Linked DNA regions of Notamacropus eugenii. The protein of the gene in region 2 purifies or fractionates together with the protein of the main gene of each other region. This does not show direct contact. Links are inferred from orthologs where the notes say so. Each region holds a gene or a part of one and is shown on either strand. Other genes may lie near its edges.

Evidence for each region.
Region 1: the proteins of CD81 (region 2) and ITGB1 purify together in Homo sapiens (affinity purification with western blotting; 4 studies listed by BioGRID and IntAct, with this or other methods). This does not show direct contact. The link is inferred for Notamacropus eugenii from reciprocal best matches to the Homo sapiens genes CD81 and ITGB1.
Region 3: the proteins of CD81 (region 2) and IGSF8 purify together in Homo sapiens (co-immunoprecipitation; 3 studies listed by BioGRID and IntAct, with this or other methods). This does not show direct contact. The link is inferred for Notamacropus eugenii from reciprocal best matches to the Homo sapiens genes CD81 and IGSF8.
Region 4: the proteins of CD81 (region 2) and PTGFRN purify together in Homo sapiens (co-immunoprecipitation; 7 studies listed by BioGRID and IntAct, with this or other methods). This does not show direct contact. The link is inferred for Notamacropus eugenii from reciprocal best matches to the Homo sapiens genes CD81 and PTGFRN.

What each region holds. Positions count from the first base shown.
Region 1 is NC_092874.1:72,861,027-72,868,727, reverse strand, and holds the start of ITGB1 (integrin beta-1), read left to right. Parts: upstream 1-4,695; 5' UTR 4,696-4,903; intron 4,904-7,701.
Region 2 is NC_092873.1:25,498,930-25,506,867, forward strand, and holds the start of CD81 (CD81 antigen), read right to left. Parts: upstream 3,002-7,938; 5' UTR 2,872-3,001; coding exon 2,806-2,871; intron 1-2,805. UniProt on the Homo sapiens protein: Structural component of specialized membrane microdomains known as tetraspanin-enriched microdomains (TERMs), which act as platforms for receptor clustering and signaling.
Region 3 is NC_092873.1:385,034,992-385,042,325, forward strand, and holds the start of IGSF8 (immunoglobulin superfamily member 8), read right to left. Parts: upstream 3,011-7,334; 5' UTR 2,865-3,010; coding exon 2,813-2,864; intron 1-2,812. UniProt on the Homo sapiens protein: Member of the immunoglobulin superfamily (IgSF) that links tetraspanin-enriched microdomains to the actin cytoskeleton and plays several important roles in innate and adaptive immunity.
Region 4 is NC_092873.1:296,754,658-296,762,112, reverse strand, and holds the start of PTGFRN (prostaglandin F2 receptor negative regulator), read right to left. Parts: upstream 3,012-7,455; 5' UTR 2,604-3,011; coding exon 2,555-2,603; intron 1-2,554. UniProt on the Homo sapiens protein: Inhibits the binding of prostaglandin F2-alpha (PGF2-alpha) to its specific FP receptor, by decreasing the receptor number rather than the affinity constant. Functional coupling with the prostaglandin F2-alpha receptor seems to occur.

The DNA.
Region 1 (7,701 bases), on a different chromosome or scaffold from region 2:
TTCAAAGAAATTTGGGAAGACTTGCATGAATTGATTCAGAGTGAAATGAGAAGAACCCAGGAGAACTATTTATATAAAAACAATAATACTGTATAGACAAACAACTCTGAAAAATTTAGGAACCCTGATCAAAACAATAACTAATCACAGTTCCAGAGCAATCATGATGAAATACGCTACTTGCCTCCTGATAGAGAGGACTCGGCACAGACTGAGACCTATTTTGGGGGGACATGGCCAAGGAGAGAATTTGTTTTGCTTGACTGTACAAGTTTGTAAGAGGAGGTTTGGGGCTTTTTTGTTTGTTTGTTTTTTGCTGCCTTTTTAATCAGGAGTGAGGAGAAAGGTGGGAGAAAAGATAGATCTTCCTGAAAATAAAATTTAATGATTAAAAAAAAGACTTGGTGTTCCAGCCTTGTCTGCCACATGATAGCCATGTAACTTTGAGCAAATCACTTAACCTTTAATAACTTCAGTTTGTCCTTTATAAAGCGGGTATAATAATATTTGTACTACCTACTCCACAGTGCTATTGTAAGCATCAATCAGATTATGTATTAGTATCTTACAGTTCTAACACCATACTCAGCATTCCTCATCAAATATCTTGCGAATGCATTGGAGAACCCGAGTTAAAATCCATCCACCATTTCTGGACAAAAAATGCATAAAGGGTATGAACTACTGACCACGGGGCAGCAGAATTATTGTATGAAGCACAGCAGCATACATATACATGCCTGTCTGGGTTTCAGTAAATAAAGACATCTACTCACACAAACCAATATTTGCATAGAAAAGCAAATATAAATTCTCTTAGAGATCTCAACAGTTTTCAAGGACGCAAATAACTACCGAGTATAAATATCCAGTCTTAATCTCTCCCCTGAACTTCCTGCTAGATATCTTCTCTTGGATGTCCTGTATTTATCTCAGAATCAACAGGTCCGAAGTAGAATATATTTCACTCCTTCCCAAACCTATTACCCCTCCAAACTTCCTTCTTTCTGTTGAGGAAACATACTCTCAGTCACCCAAATTCTAACCACATAACCTTCTTTGATCCTTCCATCTCCTTCATATTCAGTCTATTGCCAAATCAGCTGCACCCTGTAGCCTTGCCTTTATACAAAGTTGTACTATATTTCTTCCTGTTAAAGACCTGAACTCCCTTCAAAGTTCTGATGAAGCGCTCCCCCCTCTGAGGCCTTTCCTGATCCTGTCTTCCTGCTCCCTGCTCTAGTGGGTGCTCTTCCCTCCAAAATTACTTTGTATATGCTTATCTGTCTACATAGTCTCCCACCCTACAGAAGGGAAACTCTTTTTTGTCAGATAACAAGGACCGTTTCTTCTTTGTCTTTGTATTCAGAGTGCCTAGAATTTAACAAGTGCCTATTGCTTCTAGCTACACAAAATCTCTTCTGTCGGTACCCTTCTCTCCACCTACAGACTCACTATTCTAATCTGGAACCTCATTACCTCTTCACTGGACTACTGCAATATCCTCCTAACTGGTCTCCAGGATTCTAGTGTCTCTTCCTTCAATCCATCCTAAACATAGCTGCTAAAATGATCTTAAAATACAACTGACCATGCCGCTCAAAAATCTCTAGTAGCTCCTCATTGCCTTAGAAGAAAATATAAATTCCTTAGTTTGGCATTTAAGACCCTCCACAATCTGATTTCCACCAACTTTTCTAGCTTTGCTTCTGTAACAGCAAGGACCCTGGCATACACAGGAGGATCTGCTGTATAAGTTCTTAGACCTGCTTTTCTAAAAGCAAAGCAACTTTTGAGGGGACAACAATCACTTTAATCAAGCACATGAATCATTCACTTAGTTCAGGGGGAAAAGTCAGCTCTCTGACCTTCAGAGAAAATACAAAGAAATAATAATCAGCAGGCAGGGCTTCCAACTGACAGACTGTAAGCAATACATACAACACAGATCAACAGAGAGATCCAACTGTCTGACCATACATACTTAGTTACTAGACAGAGAAGCACCAGCATCTGGGTTTTCAAAGCCGGGGGGCTCCTTAGAGGCTGCCCAGAGTCTTGTCTGGCCAAACACTTTCAATGAGTAAGCCCCAAAACAAAACCTCTCCTCAAAGTATTTATACATTTTTCAGAGCCAGAGGACAGCACCTTCTAACCCAGTGCCTCAATAGAAAGTAACAAAAGGGGTGGGCCTCCCCTAATCAAGCTTTCCTTAATGGGCAGGCCCATCAATCGCTGGGGAAGATCTTTAGCTCTCTAATTAACATTACAGCTTCATACTACTCCCCTTCAAGAAGTTTCTGTTCCTTGAATTCTCCAACTTTCTGGTACATTATTCATTCTTACCATGTTCTTCTCCATATCTGGTCTGTACATTTCTCAGTTTCCCTTCTCAGAATCGGTCTTCTTTCCTCCACAGCTCAGCTAAGGCGCCACCTCCCCCTTCATTATTGATTGTCTGATTGCCTTAGGTTGTTACAGTTTTCCTCCATGGTTTTCTTTGTCCTAGACTATTTATGTACATGTTGTATCTCCACAGCAGTCCCTTTAAGCCAAGGACTTTCACATATTTGTCTTTTGGTCCTCGACGTTATACATAGTAGGCACTAAAAATGGTTACTTGAATCAAAAGTACGTAAGTAGTTGAAGGGGCACCATATTTAGTAACATGCTGTTAATAGATCAATTGTAACATCCAGTTGAACACAATATATATACATACATACATATATTACATATATGTATATATATATGTATAGCACTAGATAATTGTTTTGCCAACATTAAGTGATATTTTACTCAACTCTGAAAGATGAAAATCTTTTAGGTTCTGAAACGTCACCTGACATTCAAGAAACAGTTACAGAGAAATTTAAATCAAATTGTCAAATAGCAACAATAACTAACCTGAGGCTGAACATAAGTACATAGTTTCCAATTTTTAATTGAACACCAATTAAATCAAACACTGTAGTTGAATATCACATGTCAGCTGAGCAAGAATACAAGTTTGTTTTTTTAACACGCCAAGCTAAAAGGTTTAATTCCAGTTTGATAATTGAATAAACCATAAGGTTTTCCTCTGCTGTTACAGGTGTTGCTAATTTTGTGTAACGATACAATCCTCTTCAAATCCAAGGATCTATGTTCTCTGTGGCTTTACCAGTAGGACATATATTTTCAAATGCCATTTATTCTCTTCTAATAATAACTGACATTTATAAAGTTAAGGCTTGCAAACCACTTTGTAACACATTATCTCATTGTTCCTCAAGAGAAGTCTCTCCATTTTTATGGGGGAAAAAACTGCTGCTTGGAAAGATCAAATGAATTTGCACCATTGGTACTTATTAGACCTAAGGTTTTAACCTATATCTTTTCTAATGCCAGGTGTAGAGCTACATCCATTTTACCAATGCTAATTTCAAGTAGAAAAAGTAATTCTCACCTCATGAGGGCAAAGAAGTAGATTTCACTCTACCAGTGTTAAGTAAAATTTTCATCTTTTGATGCATCTAAGCAAATACAGCTATATTTCCTTATAGGTTTGGTTCAAACTGGGTTGCCAAGCGTATTCCTGCCCTCCTCTTTCCATCAGAAATAAGATCTTTAAGCTTCAAGTCTACAGTTCAGGATGCCCTTCGCCCAAAGCCACAACTTTCCAAACAGCCAAATTTTCAGTGCCACAAGATGGTATGGTGCCCAGGCAGTAGGCTTTGAGTAACTAACTGGGTTTCTGTATGACCTGGGTATTCAGTTTCGAGTCCTTTTATCTAAAAAGCACCCTGCCTATGCAAAAACTCTCACAATGAGTACTATTTCTTCTCCTTTTTTTTTTTTTTTTTTTAATAAACCTGTTTTAAAATATTTCTTCGACCTGGGAGGGGAAAATTGGACCGGAGTGACAGGGATCCAAACCTCCTCTTTCCGGGGGGCCAATCAATCAACAAGTATTTATTAGGGCTTCCGTGGCGCAAAGAAGGGAAGCAGTGGCTGCTCCCAGAAGTGTCCATTCCGACGGGAGGGCGGAGGGGCGATACGGCACGAAAGCAGCTCAGTCCAGGCTGGCCTGGGAGGGGGCTGGGGGCGGCGGCGGCCTCCGGCCTCAGTTTCCCCACTCTGGCTGCGGAGGGGCCCGGAGGGGTCTCGGTCTAGCCCAGACCACAGCCTTTATTTTCCTCTCCAGTCTTTAGCTCCAGACCCTCGGCCCGGCTATCTCCCAATCCAGACGGTGACCCGGAGGCGAGGGAGGCTCGGCCTGGGCCTGGGGCCCGCCTGGGCCGGAGGGGGCGCCGCCGGCCCGGGCTGGGAAGGGCGGGCGTTGGGCACCCGCCGGAGCCCCTCTCGCGACGGGAGCCTGGCCGACTTTGACAGACAGGGAAACTGAGGCTGGGGGCCCGAGGCCGCGGGCCGCTCCCCGCAGGCCCTCCCGCCACTTCCTCGGTCCGCCCTCCCCCGTCGACTCCTCCTCGTCCTCTCCCTCAGCCGCCGGCGGAGCGGCTGACGCGGCCCGGGAGGAATGCGTTTCCGGAGGGAATGCGGGGCTGGGTCCGCGTGGGGAGGGGGGAGCGGAGGAGGCAGCGACGGGAAAGGGGACAGGAGAGAGGCGGGAGGACAATGCGGATTGGCTAGCTGGAGAAGGAGGGCGGTGGCCGGGGGGCGGGGCCCCGCGCCACCTTCCTGAAGGGGAGGAGGCCGAGGGAGTGACTCGCCCCTCCTCCCACCCCGGAGGAGGAGCTGGAGCCGGAGCCCGAGCCGCTGCCACCGCCTGCCCGCCCTCCGGGAGAGCCGGGAAAGTATCTCGGAGCGGCCGCGGCAGCGACAGAGCCAGGCCGGGCCCAGAGCACGCGGCCCGCCGCCCGAGCGTGCGCGCCCCACAGAGCCCCGCGCGGACGGCGGCGAGGTGAGCGGAAGCCCGTGGCGGGGGGCGGCGGGGCTCGGGGCGCGCGTGGCGGCCCGCACCGGACCCAGGGAGAGGCAGCCCCGGCCCGGCCCCGCTCTTTGTGTCGGGAGGGAGCGGGCGTCCGCCGTGGGGGTGGGGCCGCCGGGCCGCCTCCGCTTAAGGCAAGGAATTCTTGCCTCGGGGCCGGGAGGAGAGCCGGGGGTACGCCGGGTCCGGCTCGTCCTGCCCTCGGCGCCTCCGACTCGGCCTCCGCCCGCGCTCCCCTCCCCCGCTCCGGCCGCGGCCCTCCCCCACTTTGCTGCCGGCCCTTCCTCCGCCTTCCATCCTTGCAACCTTTTCTCCTCGAGCCCTCCCTTGAGCTCCCTCTTTGCCTTCACTTCTCCCCCTCTTTATCCCTCTTTCCCTTCACTTCTCCCCCTCTTTATCCCTCTTTCCCTTCACTTCTCCCCCACTTTATCCCTCTTTCCCTCTCTCTTTCCCCTCTATCTCTCTTTCCCTCTGTTTCTCCCCCTTGCCCGTGTCTTTTCCCCTCTCCCACCCGCCCCTCTTTCTCCCCGAGCGCCCCATCACCTCCCTGCCCTTTCTTCTTCCTCTTCCTCCCCTTCTGCTCCCCTTGGACCAGAGCCCTCCTGGGGCTTGGAGCCGCTCTGCCAGTGGCCCCGAGTGGACGGACGCACGGACGGACTTGTGCCCAGCTGGCTCTCCAGGCCGGCCGGGGTTGGGTGGCATTGGGTGGCATTGCGGCCTGTCACTTCTGGAGATGTTCTGTGGTCACCCCTGGGACTTGGGGCCAGGCTTAGGAGAGGCCGGCGCCCCGTGGACTTTGTGCGCGCTGGGTATGGACGTGAACTTGACTTTGGAGTTGAAGTAGCCCTAGACCTTCTTTCTGTATTTTCCATTGTCTCTTACTTTTATGATTTAAAAAGTCCTTCAGCCTAGAAAATACCAGTGTTGAGGTGGCGTTGTATTCCCCCTTAAGATTCCCGGTGCTGTATTTTTAATTTTTTTTTTTTTTTTACCATGGCCCCTAAGTGTGTGTGGGCATGGATGTAATGGGTACGGGACGAAACCTGAAGCGTAAAAAGTTGGTAGGTAAGGAACATGAATATAACCGAGAACTTTGGATATTTTCCCCAAATTCCTTAGGTTTTTATGCGTAAGAACACAAACTTTGCTGAACTACAGACAGTGAATATTTAAATGCATACCTTTGTCCCAATAATAGATCGCTATACTCAGGGTTTTCACAGTGCTCAGTTTTGTTTTGGTTCTGGGCTGTAACTTCATCAGCGTGGGGACACCCTCTATTGAAGCAGATCAGCAGCTTCTCTGAACTTACCATCTGAAGTGTTCTGTGGGCCTGTTAAGTGGCCTGCCTGCAATTGCTGGGCTTGAACAGCAGGTCTTCCTGAGGACAAGGCTGGCCCAGCCCTAGGGCTATATGTTCTGTGTTGTTTGGGAGTAGGGAAACGTACCTCTGCTACAGACTGGTTGTGTTACTTGGGCCACAATTGCTTCATCTATAAAATTAAATTGGACTATCTGATCTCTAAAGTTCCTTTTAGCTTTATGGTATACTATGATCTTATTTGTATACAACTTTTATCTCATCCCCCCAGATAGATTATAAATTCATTAAAATTGGAAACTGCTTATTGTATTCTCAGTGTGTAGTCTATTCATTTATTGTCATTGTATCACACTCAGAATTGGACACTAAAAAGTCACAAAATTTGGCACCTTTTTTTTTGACTTCCTAATCATGCTTAGGAACTTTTAGTGTATCAGTTTCTTTTAATATTAAAGTAATTCTAGCATAAATAGTGAAGTTTTCCTGAGTAAAATGTAGATACTGTATAAAATGTAATGCTTCATTTTGCAAACTGATTTTTGAGTGGGAGGGAATTACTGGGATTGTTAGTGTCTTTTGTGTTCCAAGACAAAGTGATATATTTCTAAGGGATTTTCAGTGTGACCTGGTCTCTGCAATATTTAATTATATTCCACAGAAACAGGAAGTATTAACCCTGACACTTGTAGGCACTGGGAATGCTCAAGGCAGTCCTCAGCTTTAAGAAGTTTGTCATCTACTGGGAAATGAAGGGTAAAATGAGATAGGATGTGCACAAAATGTAAGAACACAAAACTGGAAGGTATCTTAAAGATCAGGCAATCCAGGCTTATTTTATAAAAGGAAGAAGTTGAGAGCCAGAGAAGTTAAATGAGTTGCCCAAAGTCACATAGCTAGTTTATGGAAGAGATAGGTCTCCTGGTTCCTAGCTCAGCTTCTTAAGTCTTCAAAATTTTGGCCACTTAAATAATTTTAAAAGAACACTTAAGTGTGTGTTTAAAGTGTCAAGTTGACAAGTATGATTGTTATAAAAACATTTTTTACTGTGCTCTTAGGACATTTTTTAGGATCCTAATTAAGCTGATTTTTGTAAGATTTAAACATATAGAAATGTTTGGTTCTGTTGGAAAGTAAAGTGGTAGATAGAAAAGCAAAAAATAATTTTAATTTCACTTAGAAATGTAGAATACATTTGTTTGACTTATAAAAAACAATCACCAGGCTTGTTTCTATAGAAATATTAGTACTTTACAAAGATGAAAACAAGAGTTGTTTTTTTTCAGAATAGACCCTTTGGATTTCCCTTGCCATATTTTCCCTTAAAAAGTTTAGTACATTAGAAATAACATGAGAATTAACAACTATGAATAATCATTTTAATAATCAGGTAGATTTCTTCATTCCCTTCCCTTATAGTTAATCTTGGTCCTTAAAAATTACCAATGCT
Region 2 (7,938 bases):
TGTTTATCAGTTAACCACCTGCCCCTTCCTGAGGTTGGCCCTAACAGCCTATCGCTGTGGCAGGTGACCCCTCCGAAGCCCAGGGAGCCCCAGTCTGATCATGAAGACCCTGCATCCTGACCACAAACCTCATCCTGAGGCTCACCACTCACTTCCCCCCTCCTCTTCCAGCCAACCTCAGAGCTCCACCAACGCACTGGGGGCGGGGGGAACAGAAGACAAACCTGGGTCACAGCACCCTCTTCTGCACTCCAGGGCTCCCTAGGTCAGAAAGTCCCAACAACTGGGTACACACACATTTCCCAACCTCAAGGCTGTTCTCTGTCACCTTCTGTCTGTTGTACCTCAGAGGTTGGGGGTGAGAAAGGGTTGAGAACATTCAAAGGGTCCCCACCCTCTCTGTGCCATCCTCTTGGGTCCAGGAAGTGCCAATCCTTCCCCAAACTGGACCCTCCAGGGCCAGCTCTAGGAGGGAAGCAAAGTAGGGTTCACCCCCTACTTGGCAGTGAGAAACTGAGCCTCAAGAGGGAGAAGTGACATGGGATCATAGACTGAGAGGTGGAAGGGAATTAAGATTATCTGGTCCATCTTACAGATGGGGAAACTGAGACCGGGGAGGGGTCACACAGGGAGAAGTGGCAAAGTTCACATTTGTTCTCAGGGCCTATGCCTGGTCACAATCAGTTAGCACCAGCATCAGGTCTAGACTCTGGCTCTCCTGACATGAGCCACCATGGGCCAGCCTGGCTCCTGCCTTTCTGGGTGCCCATCTACCAAATAAGGGCTCTGCTATTTGCCCTTCCCAGGCCAGCAGCAGGTGAGCTGTCCAAAGGACAGCCACTCCTATTGAGCATGGTGTCCAGCAGCAGGGCTAGAGACCAGGTGCCTGGGGGCCAGAGGGCTCCCTCTGGGGAATTCCAGGCACACAAGTCCCATCTCCATCCCAGACCCCCAAACCTGCACCGGCTAGCTGCCCTGCTCAGCTCAGACAACGTACCCCACCCAAGCTGCCACTTGGAAACCACTTACCTTCCATGAAAGGGGAAAGGGGGCATCAGGCTGAGAGCCCTCCACCTGAGGGGGCTGCCTGCCAAGGAAGGGACCCCCTGGGCAAGAGCCCAGAGTCCCCCGGGGATATCTGAGGAGAGCAAGGGAACAGGCCTGCACAAGGGAGACCCGCACACACCAGCTTGCTCATCCCTCCCTCCAAAATTAAGCAAGAATCTGAGCACAGGAAACTGAAACAAAACCCCCTCCCCCACCTCTGGAACAGGGGTCAACAGAAAGTAAAACCTAACGCCAGGAAAACAGAAAACAAAACACAAAACCTAAGGCTGGGAGAGAGAAAGCTCGAGCCCCCAGCCCAGGCGGCAACTGAAGACACAGAGCCCCGAGGGAGGCAGAGAGCCCAAGGGAAAACAGGGGAAGGGGGAGGGGCACCAAGGCCTTAATCTCATTTTATTGCCCTTACTGACAAAATCGAAGGACTACAGGTGGTAATCTTTAGCAGGCAGGACCTGGGCTCTGCACACCTTGGGGAGCTCTAGAATGGGGAGCCAGCACCACCGGTGGTCCTAGTCCAGGCTCCTCCCAGGGCCCTTCACCCTTGGAGAAAGACCCAAAGATTACACATAACACACAAGCTCACTAAAGCTAGGATTCTGGCAGGCGGGGCAGGGCCACAGGAGGGAAGGGGCCCACGTGCCCAGGAAGGGCAGACCAACTTGTTTGCTTACCCTTAGAACAGAGCTGGAACCCAAAGGGGTCTGAAAGGTTGCCCTGTCCCCTAGTCACCTGCCTTGGGTGTCACCACTCAGAAACTTGGCCTACCTTAGAGGAAATGTACGTTTTTGGGGGGGGGGGGTGAAAGACGCCCCTTTCCCTCTTCCCTCGTGGCTTCAGCAAACATTCCCTAGGAGCCTGTTCTGGCCAGCTTCCCCAGCCCTCTGCATGAGAAAGCGAATCTCGAGCCTTCTGGGTGAGCTCCCACAGCAGCCAACCCAGGGGAAGGTGCCCATGCCAGGGCTGGCAGGGTCTGGGTCCCCCTCATGCAGGACTTGTCCACTCCCCTCCGTGGGAGGGTGAGCAAGCCTGGCTCCAGCCCCTCCGAGTGGGGCCTAGGCCCGAGCCGAGGTTGTCATGGAATCTCCCGAGTGGGGCTCCACTGGGATCGAGAGCCACTCCCCCCCGGCCTGCCAGGCCGTTATCCGAGGGGAGTCCGGTCCAGGCCCCAAGCGAGGTGGCCCCCACTCACAGGCCCACGCCGAGGGCTCCCCCAGCGCCCCGCCCCGCGTCACAGGGGGCTGAGCCGGAGAGAGGCTGTGCCCACACCCCAGAGCGCCTGCGGGGAGAGCTGCCCAGCAACAGCTGCGGGCTCCGACCGCCCCCACTGAGGCCTGGACGGACCGACTGAGGGACCGAGGGACCGAGGGACCGAGGGACAGGCGCTCGCAGGTGGTTGGACAACTTCCCCTCGCTCCCAGTCCTTGGGGACGCCCCTCCCTGGGGCCGATCGCCCTGGCAAAACATCCGCGCCCTCGGAAGCGCCTCCATTGTCTGTGCCCCCCAAGTCCCCACGTTCGTGCCCACGCACACCGCGTACACACACCGGACAGACAGACAGACAGGCACGCACACACACCACGCACGCACACACACACACACACACACACACACCAGACAGACACACACACACCACACCAACACACACACCATGCATACACACACGCATCGCGGCGGCCGCAGGCCAGGACCCCCCCACGCCCAGGCCCGCCCCCGCCCCCCGATCGCCGGCCCCCCACTCACCCAGAAGACGAAGTTGAAGACGAACAGCAGGTATTTGATGCACTTGGTGCAGCCTTCCACCCCCATGGCGGCGGCGGCGGGGGCTGGGCCGGGGCTGTGCGCTCAGGGGGCGCTGGGCCCAGGGGCTCGGGGGGGCTCCGGGGGGTCGGGGGGGCTCTGGGAGGAGCTCCGGGGGCTCGGGGGGGGGCTCCGGGGGGGCTCCGGGGGGAGCTCCGGGGGCTCGGGGGGCTCTGGGAGGAGCTCGGGGGGCTCGGGGGGCTCTGGGAGGAGCTCGGGGGGCTCCGGCTGGCTGCTCGGCCTCGCGCAGCGCCCGCACCTCCGCAGACGCCGCCGCCGCGCTCGCTGAGCTCACCGCTCTGGCTCGGCTCTGCTCCGCGCTCAGTGGCCACCCTCCTCCTCCGCCCCCGCCCCGCCCTCCGGGACAGGCCCCGCCCCGCCCCCCGCTCTCGGGCGCCCCTCCCCCTCGCCCCTGGGCCGGGCATCCCGCCTGCGGGGGCAGGGCGGGGGAGGGGGGCACAGCCTGGCATCCGTGCCGGGCCCGGGACCACCCGGTCGGTTCCCCAGCTGAGCCCTGGGCCCGGCGATGGAGGCCGGAGGAGAAGGAGCCGGGCTCGGCGCTGTCCAACCAGGCCCAGGGCCGCCTAAAGCCGGCGGCTTCACCGATCGCTGAAGCCCCGGGCCCTCCGGGGTGGGTGGGGGCGCTCCCCGGGTCCGGGCTCCTCGCGCTCTCCCGGGTCCCGAGCCCTCATCTTGGGGGGCTCCGAGCGAAAAGCCCGGTGGGTCCACTGGCCTGTGGCCTCCCTCCCTGTCTCCCTCCGTCTGTCTGTCTGTCTGTCTCTCTGCCTGTCTGTCTCTCTGCCTGTCTGTCTCTCTCACCACCAGCTCCCAGGAGTGTCGAGGCCCTGGGTTAGAGTTCTGCCCATGCTCCCCAGGACTTCTCTCTTTGAGCTTCAATTCGCTCATCTGGAAAATGGCGGGGGCGGGGGCGCTAATTCTCTTCCCCAAAGTGTTCCGCAAACCGGAAAGGGCCAGAGAGATGCAGCCATTTCTATTCCGGTCCTAACTAAATCCCTGAGCCAGGGCGCTGAAGCAGGGGAGGCTGCTAGACAATGGAGATAGGAGGCAAAACTCATTGCATTGGGAAGTGGGAGGGGCTGCTGGGATGGAATTGGAAATGTCCTGGGCTGGGGGCTCTGGAAAGGGAGGAAAGCTCAGTCTTTGACCTGGCGCTCCCGTTAGATCCCACGGATGTAGCCATCAGCTCTGTGCTGTTGTTTCCCAGATCCGTTTATCCAGCCCTCACCTCTCTCCTAAGGTCCCAGCTTGCATCTCCAGCTGCCACTTACACATCTCAGAATGATATCCCACAGATACCTTAAACTTGACCCACTCAGACACACTCCCAGGGCCTGCGCAGCAGTGCATCCACTGAGGAGGACCCTAGGCTCTGCAGGGCCCTGAGGTGGCAGAGCCCTACACCTCTATGAGAGCGCAGCAAATGGCAGGGGCATGCCAATCCCTACCCCACAATGACCATGACACACAAATTCAGCTTGGAACAGAGCCGGTGACTCAGAAAGCAAATCTTGACAAATACACACAAACGCAGATGTACAAAGATGGCCAACCAAGAGAGAAGCAACTTCAAGTAGTGAGAACCCCCCTCAGGGTGGATTGTACCAAAATATTGACCCTCAGGGACCAGTAGAGAGCTATAAGGAAGCAACTACATGAAGACAAGACTGAGAGACAGAGAGAGAAGGCCTTGTGCTCCCCAAGAGCTGTGAGGGTATCCTTTGACACACTTCCCCTACACTGGTGCCTTCTTACCTTTGGGCTCAATGCTCTCCCATCACTGGGTGTGCTGGTTAAGAATGTTTCTGATTGGGACAATTTTTGTATCAACCCTTTGTACCGTCCCTCCTCATTAAACACCATTACTCTAAGCCAACTGAGCTACTGGTTGATAATTATTTGGAAGCACACTAGTAGGGACCCATGAATGACAATACTAAAAATCCTAGCCCCTCAGGGTTGCCCCAAGAAGTCCAAATCTTGGCCCAAGCAGGGCATAATCAAAGGAAAGATAAGCCCTTCTGCTCTGGTTGGACCAGATAAAAGACAGAGCTGCTCACCTTGGGTTTTGCTTCAGCTCCCACCCCAGCCCCCAAAGAGCCTGACCTTCGCCTGTAAATAAAGGAATGATAAAAGCTAGTAGACGGTTGATCCCTAAGCTAAGGAGAGCACCGAGGGACACACACATGTGCCCAGGTCCCAAAAGAATGGGCCAGTGATTGAGGAGCCACAGTCTGAATGGATGTTTGAGTGGTCAGAGAGAACAGGAGCAGAGTTGCCCAAGGGTGTGTGCCCCCATAGTCATAACAGAGAAGTCTGCAACCTGGGGGCCTGTGAACAGGACTGCTTTCTGGCAAAATTCTAGGGCCCATTAAACAAGCATCTGGAAAAGGAGGAGGTGGGAGCACTGGTAGTGCCAGAGGTGCCATCACTCAGAAACTGTGCTGGGAAGAGGGCGACAAGACCCCAGATCAAGGGGCACACTGCAAGCAGCTGGTGGCCAGAGCTTTGTCCAGCATCTGATAAAGGGGTTCAGCTTCTTCTTAGGGGAAAGATGAGGAGACAAGGACGAGCCCTCACACAGACAGGAAGATGAATCGGCCTCCAGCCCCAAACAATGTCCAACAACGCTGCCATGCCAACCATCCAGCAAACACTTATGAAGAGCTTTGTGTGGATCAAGCACTTTGCTAAGTGATGGAGAGCCAAAGAAATGAGTAAAGACTTCCATCTCTCAAGCAGGTCAGTCTGTTGTTGACTGTCCTTGGTTCTCAAAGAGGACCTTGACGTCAGGGAGGTGATGCCAAGACACACAAGTGAATTGGATAGAAGTAAGGGAGGGCTGTGCAGTCACAAGCCTCACTTTCTCCACCAGAGCCATCTGAATCCACTGGTGAGATGTAGATCAGGACAACTGGAGATGGCTGGGATGCAATGGGGACTTTGGCTAGACCTAAGCTAAGGTCTTGGACAGGTCTCAGTTTGACTGGGGCAACATCCATTCAATGATTAAGGCTGGGTAAGAAATGAGGCAGAGAATATCCTCTTTACTTAATTAAAAAAAAAATCAATCTAGGGAGGGAAGACCATCAGGGTTTCAGACCAAAACAGAAACAATTGCTATCTACAGTCACTCTGAGTCAATCAAGGCCTTGACCTGGAATCTCCTGTTGGCCAGTCAATGAGAACCAAAGTGATTTGGGTTTGAGGAGTGATGTTTAAGGGGAAAAAAAGCTTTCAGGGATGAAATATTACATTCCTTTGGGCAGAGTACCCACAGATAAGAATATAATACCCTATGTGGATAGAGAGGAAAGAAAGAGAGAGAGAAAGAGAGAGAGAGAGGGGAAGGAAGGAAGGAAGGAAGGAAGGAAGGAAGGAAGGAAGGAAGGAAGGAAGGAAGGAAGGAAGGAAGGAGAGGAGAGGAGAGGAGAGGAGGGAGGGAGAGAGGGACTGAGGGAGGAAGAAGAAGAAATAAAGCTGTGTTGCCCAACTGGCCAGTTCCAGTTGGGTCCCCAATGGGGACCCTATTCTCCACTCACAGAAGTTGTTTGTCCTTCCAGGATATGCACCTAAATTGGATCGAAGTGAGGCAGGGCTGTGCAAAATCGCTGGCCTCATTTTCTCCTCCGGAGCCCCCTGCGTCCAGTAGTGAGATGCAGATCAGAACGACCAGAGATAGCCCAGGATGCCTTTTGAAGCTGAGGTCTTTCCCAAGTCTCAGTTTGACTGAGGCAGTGCCCATTCACTGGTTAAGGCAAGGTAAGAAATAAAGCAAAGAATGACCTCTTTACCTAGTCAACAACAAAAATTCAGTCTGAGAAGGAAGACCCTCAAAGTTTCTAGCCAAAGCAGAGCTGGAGTCAGAGGATGCATGATTGCTGTCTTTGCAAGTCCAAAGGGCCGACTGTTGCAAAGAGGATTTGTCCTTGACCGGCTGGCTCCAGGTTACAGCTGAGGGCCATCTCCAGCCATTCAGTCTTACGGGGGAGACAAGACATGAGGAACCAGATGTGTGTGTTCTGCAGATGGGGTTGCTACTAGAAATTTTAAACTGGGTGTTCTCTAGTCATCCCCTTACAGTAATAACATTAACAGGAAAAGGAGAGTACAGGTTTTCAAAAGAATTCAAAATATCCCATTGCTTCTAATTCCTGTCCTTCTGTCCGTCTGTCCCTGTCTGTCTGTTTCTGTCTTTTTCTCTTGGAAAGGTTTCCTGAACAAGGTGGGATTTGATCTGAGTTTTGAAGGAAGCTAGGGAAGGTAGGGGTGGAGATGGGGCATGGGAAACAGTGAAGAAGAGGCCGAGAGATGGGAGATAATGTGACATGGCAGCCAGAAGCTGAATAAAGAGAGAGATCTCTTCCAGGAATATGGAGGCCCCATCCTCTGTCCTGCTAAGACCCATCTGCGTGTTCTGGTCAGTTCTGGGCTTACAAGGCCATTCATTGCTAAGTGGAGAGTGTCCCAATGAAGGATGAGGAAGGAGGATCAGTTGAAGGAGAAGATTTGAGGGACGTGGGGCTATCTTCAAAACTAAGCAGACTGTCCAGTTTGTCTCTGGAGGATAAGACTGAGCCCAGTGGGGGAGAAGCTTCCCAACAATGAGATATAACTGTCCCATCATGGAAAAGACTTCTCAGGGGTGAGGTGGAGGGGGGAGGGCACCAACACTGGTCAGTATCAAAGTCTGCTGGTCAGGATGGGGATTCCTCTCTACTACAGTGTGGGCTGGCCTGGAAGCCGAAGGGTCCTTGCCTGCTCTGATTCTGTGCCTCTGTGGGCCCTTGGGCTCTCTAGTTGGGCCCCACAGCTTTCCTATCTGCATTAAATGGATCAGACAAGAGCCCACATTGATTTTATCATCAAGCAGCTCTGCTCATCCTTCTGCTGAACCCCACTGACCAAGGAGCTGGTGGGACAGTGGATGGGGTGCCAAGCCTGGAGTCAGGAAGACCTAAATTTGAATCCAAACCCAGACATTTCCTAGCTGTAAGAGGGGAAGATGAGGGGATGCTTAACTGCTGCCTGCCTCAGTTTCCTCAACTGTAACACAAA
Region 3 (7,334 bases), about 360 Mb from region 2:
CCCCCAAGACATTCCTTGTTGAGCTTTGCTGGAGGTCTGTTCCCTCTCCTTATTTCTCCCACGGTGCCTTCAGTTCCAGGGCTGCCTCACTCTCCAATATTTCTCTAGTTATCTTTACCTTCCCAGGTTCCCATGGGAGTGTCCCTGGGGATTAGGGTTGGAGGGAAACACTAGCGCCAGATGAAATCTCAGGTCGAACTGTCATGGCCTGACTCCTCCTCCCACCAGAAAAACGTGGGTTCTTACAGCCTCAATCATCTAGTGTTCCAGAACCCTTCAGCCTGGAATTCTGAGGCCACTTCCTATTCACCACTTTCTAACAGGGACCAAGAAGTAATGAGGAGAACTGGGAATCTTTGATTCTCAATTTCCCCTAACCATCTCTAACATTCTCTAAAATTCACGGCTGCTTCTTCCTGACTTGATCACCTAAGGGTCAAAAGAATAGGGGGAGGATTAGATGTGGGACTCAGGGTACAATGCATCAGTGCCAGGCACATAGTAAATGGTGAATAGATGCTTTTTGACCAATTGATAGTGTGCAATAATATCATCTAGGCCTTTACAATTTAATCAGTCTACATGCGTTTTCTCATTGCATACTTACAACTGCCCACTGGGAGGAGTTTGTATAAGTATTATCATTCTTATTTTGTAGGCTTAGAGAATTTAAGTAATTTGCCCAAGGCTAGTAAAGCATAATTCTCTTTCCACTTTTATACCACTGTTTCCATTCCATTTCAACTTAACATTAATGGTCCATATATATGGGCAAGTCATCCCACCACTCTAGGACTCAATTTCCTCATCTGTAGAATATAAAATTTATGTGAGATTATTTCTCAAGTTCCTTTTGGTTCTAGAATTTTATGAGTCTGTGAGTCAGAAGGGCCCAGCCTCTAGAAGGTTTCATAACCAGGGAGACAATAAAGAGACCAAACCACTACCAAGTTACCCAACTGTATCAGGTCTGGCCTTCGGTTTATAAGAGCGGTTCTCCCCACTCCCAGACTCCTACACCTGCAAGTTGATGCTCCATGATCCCCATGGGAAAGCAACCCTCATCTTTGGAATTGACCACTACAAGGTTTATCCCAACCTACTTCCTCCTTCCTCCTACACCCATCCTCCCCCTTCCCCCAAAAAACCCTTAGGATTCCTGCCTGAACATCATACTGCCTATCGAGAAAAGCAGGCTATGTGCTAAGCAACCATTTCCCGTGGGTCCCTACTTCTCCAGCTGCCCAGCCCCAGGGACAGGTGGGGAGAAAAAAGACATCTTCTTCCAACCATCATGACCCAGGAGTCCACTCAGTGAGCTGGGGAGTTTGGGGACATCATGAAGCATTAGCAAATCTCTGGCCTAAAAATAGGTGACTAGGACAATTATTACTGACACTCTACCAATTCAGACTCAAATATTAAAATAAATACTGGAGAATGAAATGGGGCATCAGTTTTCTACGTTTAGAATACAATTCAATCCTTCCACTGTCTTACTTCCCCCAACTCCCTATCTTCTCCAGGAAGCCCTCATGCGCAGGTCAAACAAACCTTAACTAGTTATTGACTGACATCATAAATTGCACATGTTCCCACGACACCTTTTTTGGGCATAGGAAGGCACAAGGCCTAAATTTCCTGTCTGCACTGGGTAGTTCCCCTACACACAGCAATGCCAGGGGCAAATGGTGCTTAGAGATTTTAGGATTAAAGACTCCAAAGAGATCAGCTGATGTTATCAGAGACTGACTTCCCACATCTGTCTTTGCCAATATATTCTGAGCCCCACACTTGGTAAGACTGGAGGATGGGGTAGATTAGAGCAAGGCTTTGTGATAAAAGAAAGTCCCCATAACTGCCTATAGCCTAGCCACTTAACTGCAACAGCTAATGGAGGGGACAAATGGTCCAGGAAGGGAAATATGGGTAAGAAACCTATAATAGTGTGGACACTGGGGGAGGAGGGAAGGGAGATGAGACAGCTGGCTAGAAAAGGGGTTAAGAGCCTGATGAAAATTCGGAGAAAGTAGAAGCCTTGGGTTAGAGGAGGAGGAGGGCAGAATGGGCTGGAAAGGAGCACCAAGCTGAGAGGGATCTGGAAAGCTAGGACACAGTAAAGGAACAGAGAAGGAACCCAGAGTTGACCAAAAACGGGGGGGGGGGGGGGTAGGGTCAAGAGGGGTCACTGCCCCTGAGGAAACAATCTTCTAGTGAAGTCAAGGGGGCAATTAGGGGAGACTTCAAAGATTTTGGGCAGAGTCAGCCCCTTGGCCTCCTACCAGCTCTGAGGCAATTACGAGGGCGGGCACTGCCCACGCCTAGGCCAGGCACAGAAAGCTGCAGTACTCCTAGGGTCTAGCTATGCTGGTACAGAGAAACGCACCCGGGGTGGTATGGCACCCCAGAGATTGGCCATGGCGTTCGAGTTCAGTGGGGTAGCTAGCCCCTTCAGCAGCTCCTCGCCCCGTCCTCCCCCAAACAGCTGGAGAGGAGGAGCCTGGAGCTGGGAAGCCCCTTTCCCTCCCCCTGCCCCTCTTCCTAATCGGCTCAGCCGGAGGCCACAGACGCCAGCTGGGCACAGTCCTGCGGGCCGGGGGTGGCGGAGCCCCGGGGGCGGTCAGTGCGGGGCTGAAACGAAACTCCCAGCCCCGGCGCCCCGGCGGGGCAGAGGATGCCCTGGTCCCCGCCAAGGTTGCTGCGCCAAACAGGCGCAGGGGAAGGGGCAAGGCTCAGGCGGGAGGGGGCGAGCCGGGCGGGCGGGACGGAGGGCAGGAAAGGCACGGGGCGATCCGCGGCTCCGCTTCCTTACCAAGCAGTAGCAGCAGCGGCGGCAGCCACGGAGTGCGCCCGGGGGCTCCCATGCTGCGCGCCGCAGAATCCGGGGGGCGCTCGGGCTCTGGGGGGCCAAGGGCTCGGGGGGCGCATGCCCGGCTGGACGAGAGAGGCGCACCAAGCCCGGGCGGCCGCGTCCCCTGCTTCCTCTGCCTCCTCCCCGCCCGCCTTCCCCCTCCCTCCCCTGGCGCTTCTGGGCCAGGCTGGCCCCTCCGCTGGGCAGGACTCCGCCCAGGCCCCGCCTCTGCCCAGCCTCTTCCCCTCCCCTTCTCCGGGGGCCAATGGTTGGCACTTGTCTCCCGTTCTGATTCCCAGTGCCTCGTCCCCTGGCGCTGCCTCTCTCCCCAGTCCCCTCCAGCTTGCCCCAAGGGCCTCGCTGGCCCCCCAACTTCAGGAGAGGGGCGTACCCCTTGAGGGGGAGAAAGAAGCCAGGAGCAAGTGACGTCAGCGAGGGTTTGGGGGGGGCTGCTTCCTTCTGGGCCTTGGGGCCTTCCCAGCTGGCTGGGAGTACCTGGGGGGAGGGCTGGGACAAGTGAATGGGTAGGCTCAGAAAGAAGGGTGAGAGCACACTCAGAGCTTCGTGGAAGAATGAAAGCTCGCTGCTTTTGGTCTCCATTGCTGCTAGAAAAAGAGAGAGGAAACTTATGCAACAGGAGGAATTTCGTCTACGTGGAAGAGCTGAGACCAGACCCGGGGTGGGGCGAGAAGGGTGCTGCCTGCAGGCCTGGGCTGGGTGAGAGGATCTACCTCGGTTCCTTCCTGTCTGGCACTTGTGATTCACAGAACCACAAGATTTAGAGGTTGAAAAGAGGGATCTGAGGTAGACATCCTCTAATTCAACCCCTCATTTTGCTGACAAGGAAACTGAGGCTCAGAGCTGGGCAGTGATTTGTTCAAGGGCACCTACTTCATCAGGAGCAGAGATAGAATTCAAACTGATGTCTTCTGACTCCAGATTCAGTATTGTGGAATCCCTGGTTTCCTTCAAGACTAGTCTCAAGTGCCCCCTTCTGCATGAAACCTTTTCTGGTCTGATCCCCCAATCCTGTCCCCAGCCATTAGGCTTCTTCTCCCCAAACTACCTTGTATTCCTTTTGCATGCATTCTGAATATACTGGTGTGTACATTTCGTCACCTTCTTTAGAGTGTAATCTCCTCTAGGATAGGAACTGTTTTTGTTTTTGTACTTGGCACCTGGTAAAAGATCAATAAATTCATTGGTTCCTTGTTTCTCCTCACAGATAATAGCCTGGCCCCTTATCATTAGCTTATCGTTAGCACATAGGCAGTCCACTCCTGCTCTAAGGTTCTGGAGCTGCAGGAATCTTGCAGACAAAAAAAGGCAGGACTCTGTCTGTAAGAGGAGGCTGGTCGTAGGAACAAGGAGGAAGCCAAGTAAAGGGAGAATTTCATCTCTGTGTCTCTTTGAGAAAGGTATGAGTGGTTGAGAACAGAGGGCCTTTGAGAAGGAGCTTGAGAACTCAGAGCAGGGAAAGAAAACTTCCTTATCTATCCCCTCCAGTCCTTTTCTCCTGCGAGCACCTCCAGGACCCAGTCAGGGTTGAGGGGCAGAAAGAGCAGAGTTCTCATTTTTACTAACATTCTGGCATACAATTTGAGAAATGAATGCAGCACTTTTAAGGATTCAAAGCTGCGTTCTGCTGTAAAGACCCATCTTTTTTTTTAATTCAATATTCTCAATAATAAATAGTATATCGAATGTTGAATTAAATTGAGTTAGTGATGGTGACTCATGAAACACCATCTTAGAAAAGCCAAAATGGTGACTTCAAAGGTCAGTGGAAAGGGACATCGTCTGTAAAAGTGTGTAGGCTATAACACATTACCAATAATGACTTTTTAATGAGAAAGTAGCATGATAAACGGTACCAGGGACTCTCTTTTACAGGATATTTCAAACAACCTGGCCTACTTGAGGTTTCCGTACACAGCATTCCCTTTTCCACCTCCATGCCTTTGCCTAGGCTGTCTGTACCCCACGACTGGTATGCGTTTCCATCTTACTTCCACCTCTTGGAATATCTAGCTCTCTTCCAGACTCAACTCTTACCCAAATGTTTGTTTGGTTTTTTTTCTTTCTGATCTTCTCAGTTGTTAGAGCCCTCTTATCCTCTGGGGGAAAAATAGTTCGTATTTACTTATCTATGTACATGCTATTTCCCCTCCCCCCAGTAGAATGTTAGCTTCTTAAGAATAGGGATTATTTCTTTTTTATCTTTGTACCTCCTGCACCTAGCACAATGCCTAGCTTATTATAGTAGGCCCTTCAGACACACCTGTTTAATTGAATTGAATTAGGACCACAAAAAAAGGTAGGCTTACCATTTAGCGAGAATGAGAGATGACAGATCAAATGATCAAGCTCTGCACTGACTTGAAATAATACTAAAAAAGAACCAGAGACAGCATCATGTGATGGATGGAGAACCAGTCCTATATTAGTAAGACCTGGCTTTATGGCCTACCTCTGACGCATGTAGGCTTTGTGATTCTGAGCAAGTCACAACCTCTCAGTGGTCCCAGACAACTTTTTAAGATCTTTTTAATGGTAGTCTGATGAAGCCTATGAGCCCCTTCTCAAGTCAAGCCAACAAGTATGTATTATGTGCCAGACACCGTGAATGAGGTTTTTAAACACGTAAAATAAAAGTCAGAGGAAACCAATTATACTGAAATACAGTCATCAGTAACAGTGATAACTATGGCTTAGCTGCCCTGATCAGTACAGTGATCCAAGACAATTCCAAAGGACTCATGGTGAAAAATGCTATATACTTCCAGAGAGAGAATCTGAGTACAGATTAAAGCTTATTGTTTTTCACTTTATTTTTCTTGCTTTGTTGTCCCTGTAGCATGGCTAATATAGAAATACGTTCTGCATGACTTCACATGTATAATGGGTATCATATGCCTTCTCAATGGATGAGGCAGGGGCTAGAGGGAAGGAGAGAATTTGGTATTCAAAAATTTTTTTAAATGAATGTTAAAAAAATACTCTCATCAGACTATTTTTTAAAGCAAGTTTGCAGAACATGCTTCCCCCCCCACCCCTTCAAGTTAAGAATTCTTGTGCTGTTTTGCAAAGCAATCTGCATGGGTAATGGCAGTTCCAACAACAGAGTTCTCTATGCCAGTAGAATCATCAGTCTAGTTCACCCCGCTGCCCCCCCACCATGGAAGGTCTCTGTTATGTTGAGTGGACCCCTCTATGTAGGATTAATGGAAAGACATGAACGAGAATAGCAAAAAAAAAAAAAAACAAACCAGGAATAGGTTGTGATCTGCCTCCCCCCCACCCCTTTTAGTGGAGGGAGGACTTATCCTCATTTCTCCCCTGACTCCTTCTCTTCTCTTCAAAAAGCCAAATATTCAACCCTGAGACTCATGGCTTAGGGGCAGAGGCATGGGCTGGGAGTGGGGAGGAGCTAGGGACTGAACAGAGAGTCTGTTTTGGGTCCCTCAAAGAAAGGTGCATACACTCCCCTCTATCCCCAGTTTGTGAGTTCTAAAGGCTATCAGCAGGGGGCGCCCATAGTTCAGTCCTGGCACAGCCCATCAGACACTTATATAACTTAAGAAAAACAGGACTGGGAGGCAGGGGAGACAAGGAGGGAACATGTGAGCTTACACACCGTGACCATATGTCTCTTACACACAGAGATACACACCCTGTGTCAGGAAATCCATTACACATACAGATGGAACACACAGTATGCACACTGTAATGTCACACTTAACAACTTCATAGAAATATTAGAAACCCAGAGACACCTTGGAAAGCAAGGAGGGGTAGTAGAAAAAGACTTGTATTTGGGATCAAAAGTCACAAGTTTGAATCCTGACCAGGCTACCTTTGCATACCTTTGGGCAAGTTATAATCTCCCTAGTCATGGGTGTCTCCTGTTTAAAAAAAGGGGGGGGGAGGGGAGCTTGACTGGATGATCTCTAACGTCCTTTCCAGCAATAACCCCATGATTCTATAAGACAGGGTCTGGGAATAGCCCCAAGCATCTAGCATCCAGCACCCAGCCCCAGGACTAGTGCTCCTTAGTGAGGTAAGACCACACCCTGCAGAGGTGGATGAGCAGAAGGCAGTCTTAGACGAGTGCCAACCCAGACTCTAGGTGACTATGGCATGGGTTAGCCACAGAGCCTGTCACTGAGATGCAGACACAGATGTGTGGGGTGGGGTGGAGTGGGTATTGGGCACAGCAGTGCATGCAGAAGTTACAGAAGCCCTTTTGGTTTCTGTGTTCGCTGCTCATCACCAACTTGCCGCCCACTCCCCATCTGCTGCTTGCTGTGGGCACACTCTTTGCACAGGGGCTGAGGTATCTTAGCATCACATGTACCCAGAGGCAGAGTCACGTGTCACTCACCCACCCACTGATGATATACCCAAGGATATAACAGACATACACCAGGATATACAAAAACAAATGAAGATACACTGACAAATATATGCACACAGTCACAGG
Region 4 (7,455 bases), about 270 Mb from region 2:
GGAGGGCAAGATTGAGGATAACGCCTAGTCTGGGAGCCTATGTGACTGGGATGATGATGGTACCCTCCATAGTAACAGTTTCTCAATGAGTCTTCCTGCTTCTAGTCTCCCCTCCTTTAATCCACCCTCCACAAGGCTACCTAAGGTCATTATGTCACTCCCCTACTCAAAAATCTTCCATGGCTCTCCACTGACTCTAGCTTTCAAAGCTCTTCCCAAACTGACTCCTACCTACCTTTCCAGTTTTATTTCATATTACTACCCTCACATACTATACTCCAAAGGAGTCCCTTTGGTGTTCCCTTGAAATGACATTCCATCTCCTGCCTCTTACTGTATCTTTGTTCATGTGGCTTCCATGCGCACCCCAACTTCCTTCAAAAAGTGCCTCAGGTACATGAGGCTTTTCTCAGTCACCCCAATCATTGGCAATCTTTCTTGAAATTATTTTCTTTTCCTTTGTTTCCTATGTATAATTCCTATGTATTGTATACACCCCACACCTCTATCCCCAAGGGAATACCAGTTTTCTGAGGGCAAGGATTCAACATTGCTATATTGGAAACAACGAGCACATAGTAGGCAATAAACTTTCAACTGGATCAAGGGAGTTGATTGAGGTTTCTAATGCAATAGAGGTTTGGAAGAGAGAGGTGAGATGAAAGTGAGAGGGGGCAATCTGGAGGTGTTCTACATATAGGTGGTAACTGAAACCATGTGATTGGATGAATTCCCTCAAGGAAGGCGTTAGAAGGCTCAAACAGATGTGAAAGAGGGGAAAACTGAGCTGCAGCTTCCATCTTACCCCTCTCACCCTCTCATTTTAACCTCATTTTGGCACCAGGCCTGAGCTAGTGAGAAGGGAGGGGCGGCTAAAGGAGAGACACACACTCAGCTTTGGTGGTGGGAGTTAACAACAGGCTCTGTGAGTCAGGAGGGGAATCCACAGGGAATCTCTGGCTTTTAAGCTGCCCAGAAGCCCTACAGCAAGGATGCATCTGGGGCTAGGTTGGTCCAAGTCCCATCCACAGAGAAAGTCACTGGGGATGACTGAACAGCTCTGGGTTGGCCCTGTACATGGGACCAGAGGTTTTAAAGCTGGAAAGGACCTTAAAGATCTTAAAAAGTCCAACTCCTTCATTTTACAGATAGGTAAATGAGGTCGGGAAAAGGGTACTGACTTGCCTGAGGGTTAGAAAATACAGCATTTCAACCTCGGTTTTGAGATTCCAAATCTAATACTCTTTCCCAAACTCAGCCGAGAAGGCAGATGTCCAATCATCAGTGCACAAGCCTAGTTTTCCATGATTTTTGCCTTTGTTTGTATCCCTAGCGTTTAGCAAAGTGACCTTGTACACGGGAAGCCCATAATAAATGCTCGGTGACTTACGTCCAGAAGTCCCCAAGCATCTGACAGGCTCAGACTTTGGCAGTAACCCATGCCCATGTGTCCATGCCTATGATGTATGCAAATCAGAGAAAGAAACTGCAAGAGTTTGAAGACCAGACTATGGAGATGGAAGGATTCGGGTAGAAACGATAGAGGGCAGAAGGGCATGGGGGGCGGGGAGGGGGGCCCGGGCAGGGTTGTTGGTAAATAGTTGAGAAACTAGTGGCCTCGGGCTTTTTCTCTTAGAGAGGTAGCAGCTGCTCCAGTAACAAGTAAAAGTTGAGGAAAGCCTCAGGCAGAAGATCCAGTCACCCAGCACTTGAACAAAGCAAGGAGAAAGTGCACTAAGATTGTAAAGCCGTAGCTCCGGCACACCCCGATCAGTCACCTTTAAAAGGGAAAGTTTGTACGGTGGCCCTTTCCCGAAAGAAAACCCAGGCTTTGTGCCGTGGTGCACGGTTGTTCGGGGGTTTGGGAGAGGGGGAGCTGAAGGTTACTGAGTCTGCAGCACAAGCAGATTAACGGGGGACATTTCCGTTTTGGAGTAGGGAACCGGGGCTCTTGGGCAGCCGGGCGGGCAGCCAGCCTCCTGGCCGAGGCGTTCAAGGTGAAGGAAGCCTCCTCCTGGCTCCCCCTCCTGCCAACAGGTAGAGCTGGAGCAGCCCAGGCAGGCAGCCGCCACTCCCCCCACGGTCGAGCCCTGGATCTGGGTCTGGGCACGGGAAGGCTTGGCCTTCTGGCTGGGCATCGGGTGGATTCCAAGCCTGGCTGGGCTGGGGGAAAGGGGACTACCGCAGCACGAACGGCTAGCTATTACTGCCCTCCCCGCCCCCAACCAAAAGGCTCCCTCGGATCCGGGCGGTCAAGCGCCGGACAAAACGCCGGTTAAGTGGGCGGGAGCCCCAAAGCCCGGCCAGGCTCTGCTCGGCTTCTCTAGGGCCCCCAGCCCGAGGCTGTCCCAGGAGCCGGGCAGGGGCGGGGGTCGGGGGCCCGGAGCCTTGGAGTGGCCCAGGCCGCACGCTGGGGGGGAGGGACACCCCCTCAGTCCGCCCATCCTCTCCGCTCCCCTCCCACCGTGGCGGGGCCCCCGGCTGGCAGCCCTCCCGCTCCTGGCATCACGCCCCTCTCCCCCCAATTCGGCCCGGGCCCCCAGCCCGGACTCACCAAGGGTCAGGAGCGCCAGCAGCAGCGGCCTCTCCCCCGAGTGGCCCATGCTGGCCGGCCGCGCGGGAGGAACTCCCCTTCCCTTTCTCCTCCGCCTCGCCTCGCCTCGCCTCGGCTCTGCCTCCTGCTCCCGCAGCTCCAGAGTCAGCGCTCCTGCACCCGGGGGAAGGGGGCGGCGCGCCCGCCCCGCGCCGACTCCACTCCTGCGCCTGCTCGCGCCGAAGGCTGCCCGGACCGAGCCTCTTCGATTCGCGCGCAAGAGCAGCCGTGTAACCTTCCCTCTCCCTCTCCCTCTTTCACCTCTTCCTCCCTTCCTTCCTTCCTTTTCTTTGGCAGCAGGCGGGGAGCCGGGCGCTAGGGCTGGCCGCGGCTACAGTGTGCAGCCCCGACCGCTTCCCGAAAGCAAAACGAAAGAACCGCAGCGCCTGCCAGCCAGCCCGCCCGCGCCTCCCATCCGGCGCTTTGCCAGCAACAAACACAAACTTTCCCAAGCCCCTCCCCACTTCAGGTAACGGGGAGGAAGCGCGGCACTCTGGGGATCTCTGGGTGCTGCCCGCTTAAAGGGGAGGAGAACTTCCAGACCCCCACCCTCGCGCCCCCGTGCCAAACCTCCTCCGACCTTTAAAAGTTGGGAAATGCCCAAGATTTTTCTAGGAACAAATAACTCCCCAGGAATCTCCCCCAAATCAAAGCGCAACTCTTTCCCTTCTTGCGAAATTCCGCATCTGTTCCCCAAAAGTCACCCCCACACACACACACAGAAAATCCACAACTTAACTTTCCACAAATCCACTCCGTTCGCTAAATCCGGGCCACGCCTGATGGGAGCTTCCAGCAGGACTCCATTCCAGAGTCCTCCACTTTCCCTCTTTTCTCTGGAAAGATAAAGTAAGGACACTGCTCTGACGGGCAGCTCCCTTCCCAACCTCTAATGAAAATACAGAAACGTTAATATCACTACAGTGCCTTATGTTTGATCCTCTCTGAGTCTTACATTGATGACTGAAGGTGTCTATACAGCTTACACACGAGGATGCAACAAAGTAACCAAGAGTATTGTTTTTCTTTCCAGTAATGATACTGTAGTTTTGTATAGTACTTTTATAATCATTATGTCATTGAACCTTCTGGGTTGGCTAGGGTAGGTTTTCTTCTACATTTTCTGATTCTATCGAACAAGTTTTTATTCATTAAGCACCTGCTAAGAGCAAAACCCAGTACTAGGCCATGGAAATACAAAGACAGAAATAATAAATAGTCCCTGCCTCCAGGAACATTCCATTCTACAGAATGACCTCTGATGGTAGAACATTAAATCTTAGGAAGGTCTGGAAAGGTTTCCATTAGATTACTTATTTTACAGATAAGGAAATTGAGGCCCAGAGAAATTCAACAATTTGTCTAAGGTAACATAATAGGTTAGTGTCAAGAAAAGAGGGACAGTGCACTGGAACATATCTTTTTGACTTCTAGGTCAGCGTTTTTTTCCATGAATGCTATAAAAGCCCAGTACTTGGGAAGGGGTGGGGTATTAGTCTTCATTGTCTGAATAATTCATAAATGAGTCAAACATATGGAATCAAGGAAATTGCCTGAGCCCACTCAACCCAGTGTCTCATTAATACAGTAGGGAAAAAAATCACAGTATTCCTTCTTTCTGAAATTACCTTTAATTGATCTTGTGGATGTGTCATGTATGTCTCACTTGTATGGAGTTGTTAGCATGGTTTTGCCCTGATTCAAATGAATTCCTTGTGGACTGGGGCTGTTTTTGCCTTTTTTTCTTTTATATCCCAGCTCTCCGAAGGGTGCCTAACATGTAAATACTTGTTGACTGACTGACTAAGAAAAAGTCAAAGAAAGGTTGTGATGAGCCAAGTCTAGCATCATCCCTAAGTTCTTGTTTATGGCACAGTTATAAGCATGGCAGGTTTAATACAAGTTCATTACTGCTGCTGAAAAAGATAATTCAAAACTCATTCAAATCGTCCTCCTCCACCCCCTTTAAGGACCACCTCAAATCCCACCTCCTCAGCTAAGCCTTCTGGGTAATTTCAGGTAACCTTTTTCTCCCTTCTTTGATCACTTATGCCCTTTTCATTTTGTCCCTTGATTAATTCAGTTTAGCGTTTTATTATACATACATTTTCTTGCACCAGTCATCAAATCTAAATGATGTTCTGGAGTATTTCTCCTCCCCTTCTGGAAACTCTTCTTGACTAATTTCTGTGATTCCCCTCCGCTACTCCAATCAGATTTTAAGTTTCTTTTGGGTGGAGATTTTTGTATAAAGGAAAAAGCAAGTTACTTGAGGGTAAGAAATATCTTGTTTCTGTTATTAAATGTTTGCTGAATAAAATTTTGTTCATGGCATAAACTTGTTTTGGATCTGCAACAATGTAGTCATAATTCTGGACACATAGTAGGTATTCAATTTCAGCCATCATTCACTAAGTACCAACTATGTGAGGAACACATCACTAGCTAGAGTTGACAATTTTTAGATAAGACACCTTGCAGTCTGGCAGAGGAATAAGACACACACAAGTTCTATAATAATTCATGATTAGGTTAGCAGAGAGGTAAAAGAAAACAAAACTATCTAGGATTCGAGGAGGGAAGATCAAGAAACACTGTGCAGGACAATGGATAATGTGTTGAACTTGGAGGTAAGAGGACCTGTATTCAAAACCTGCCTCAGACAATTGTTAGCAAGGTGACCCTGAGCAAATCATTGATCCCTGTAAGCTTCGGTTTCTTCATCTGTAAAAGGAAGGGGTTGGTTAGTGGTTCTTCACCTGGGGTTTGTGAAATTAAAAAAATATATATTTATTTCTGATAACTGTGTTTCAATATGGGCAGCTAGGAGACACAGTGAATAGTGCTGAGCCTGCAGTCAGGAAGCCTCATCTTGATGAGTTCAAATCTGGTCAAAGACATGCACTAGCTGTGTGACCCTGGGCAAGTCCCTTTACCCTTTTGGTCTCAGTTTACTCATCTGTAAAAAAAATGAACTGGAGAAGGAAATGGCAAATCATTCTAGTATCTTTGCCAAGAAAACCCCAAATGGAGTCACAAAGAGCCAGGTACAACTGAACAAGTGCCAATATAAATTGATAGTAAGCCTATGTATTTTATTTTGTGCACTTATGAAACATCTGAGAAGGGGCTTATAGTTTCCTTCAGTCTGCCAAAAATGTTCATCTCTCTCCCTCCCTCCCTCCCTCTCTCTCTCTCTGTCTGTCTGTCTCACACACACACATACACACACACACACACACACACACACACACACACACATTAAGAACCCTGTATTATCTGATGTCTGAGATTCCTTCCAAATCTAAATCTACCATCATATGAAATATTTACTGGCTTGAATAGAACTGAAAGTCCTACTTATTGTAGGTCTGTAGAATGATCCTTGCATATCAAAGGCAGCCTGGTTTTTATAACTTCATATAAACCGGAAAGAAGTGCCTCTAGTTAGCCACATCTGCCACACCTTTTGCTGGACCCTAACCACTGCAGTATAAAATATATCACTGATTGAAGAGAGCTATGGCCAATGTTCCCAGCAGGAAAGAGCAACTTGCTAATTCATGAATTGGGTATTTGTTTATTCCTTCTTTGTGCAGGATAATCAATCTTTTACTAGCTTAAGTAAGACCCTATTCAGTAGTCTTTTTTATTGCATCTCATTGATTCAAAGGCCTGCCCAGGGCAGGAAGACTACTTTAGCAATCCCAACTGACAGAATTGTTCCCTCCCCCCCAACCACCACCTCCCAAAAAAGATTCTTCCTGCTCAGTACTGTAATGGAAGGCCTCTCCCTGCCAGCTGTTGTTACTCATCATAGAGGCATTTGAAGGGATACTCAGAAACGCCTCTCTTTTAGGATTGACTGTACCCAGATTATAGGTATCAATATAGGAAAGTGTTATCCCTGAAAATCTTGTGAAATAAAATCACGTGGAAATTCAAATGTTTTGTTTGCTGAAGTTTAAGGATGCCTTCAATGAAAGCAAAGCTTACTTAATAGTTAAAAAATAAAAAACTCCATTCTTCAGTCATTGCCTCTCTTTTCTGAATTTTTAATCATTCCTTTTCCATTGAATTCTTCCAGTCTTCCTACAAATATCATCCTCAGGTCTATGCAATCCTACATTTTCAAAAGTCTTTTCTCAGTCCTTCTACTCCATCAAGGTACTAACTCAGCTCTCTCCTTTCACTGATTGCCTTGAAAAAGTAGCCATCATGGAAGCATGATTCATCATTGGCCATAGTGAATCATGCTTCCTAACTCCTGACAGAGAGGTGATAGACTAGAGATGTAGAAGGGGTCATACTTTTACTTTGGGGTGGAAAGAAGGGAGAATTACTGGGGACTAGAGGAAGTAATCATGGTGCCACAAAAAGAAAAAAAGAGTATCAATGAAAAGTTTAAAAAATATTGAGGTGAGAACAAAAGAAAGCTCGGAAAAAGACAGATAAGCAGAACCACTTGGAACTGCTGTGTTAAATATATTATATATCTTTTAAAAAAACCTGAACTGCATGTATTAGAGATTTACAGTTTCTGTATACAATCCTCTTTTGTTATTCTTTGTATATGAAAGTGATTGTTTGTGGAGGGTTGTCAAATTCACAATAATAAAAAAGAGAAAAAGTGTTTTCAAAGTATTCTATGACCAGGTTCTTTCTTTTCCTCACCATTTATTCAGTCATAGAATTAGATATTAGTTAGGTGGTATAGTGGTTATATCCCTGGATTTGGAGTTAAGAAGACTTGTGTTCAAAACTGGTCTCATGTACTTACTAGGGGTGTGACCCTGGACAAGTTACTCTATCCCTATCTTCTTTTAGTTTCCTTATCTGTAAAATAGGAATAATGATAGCAC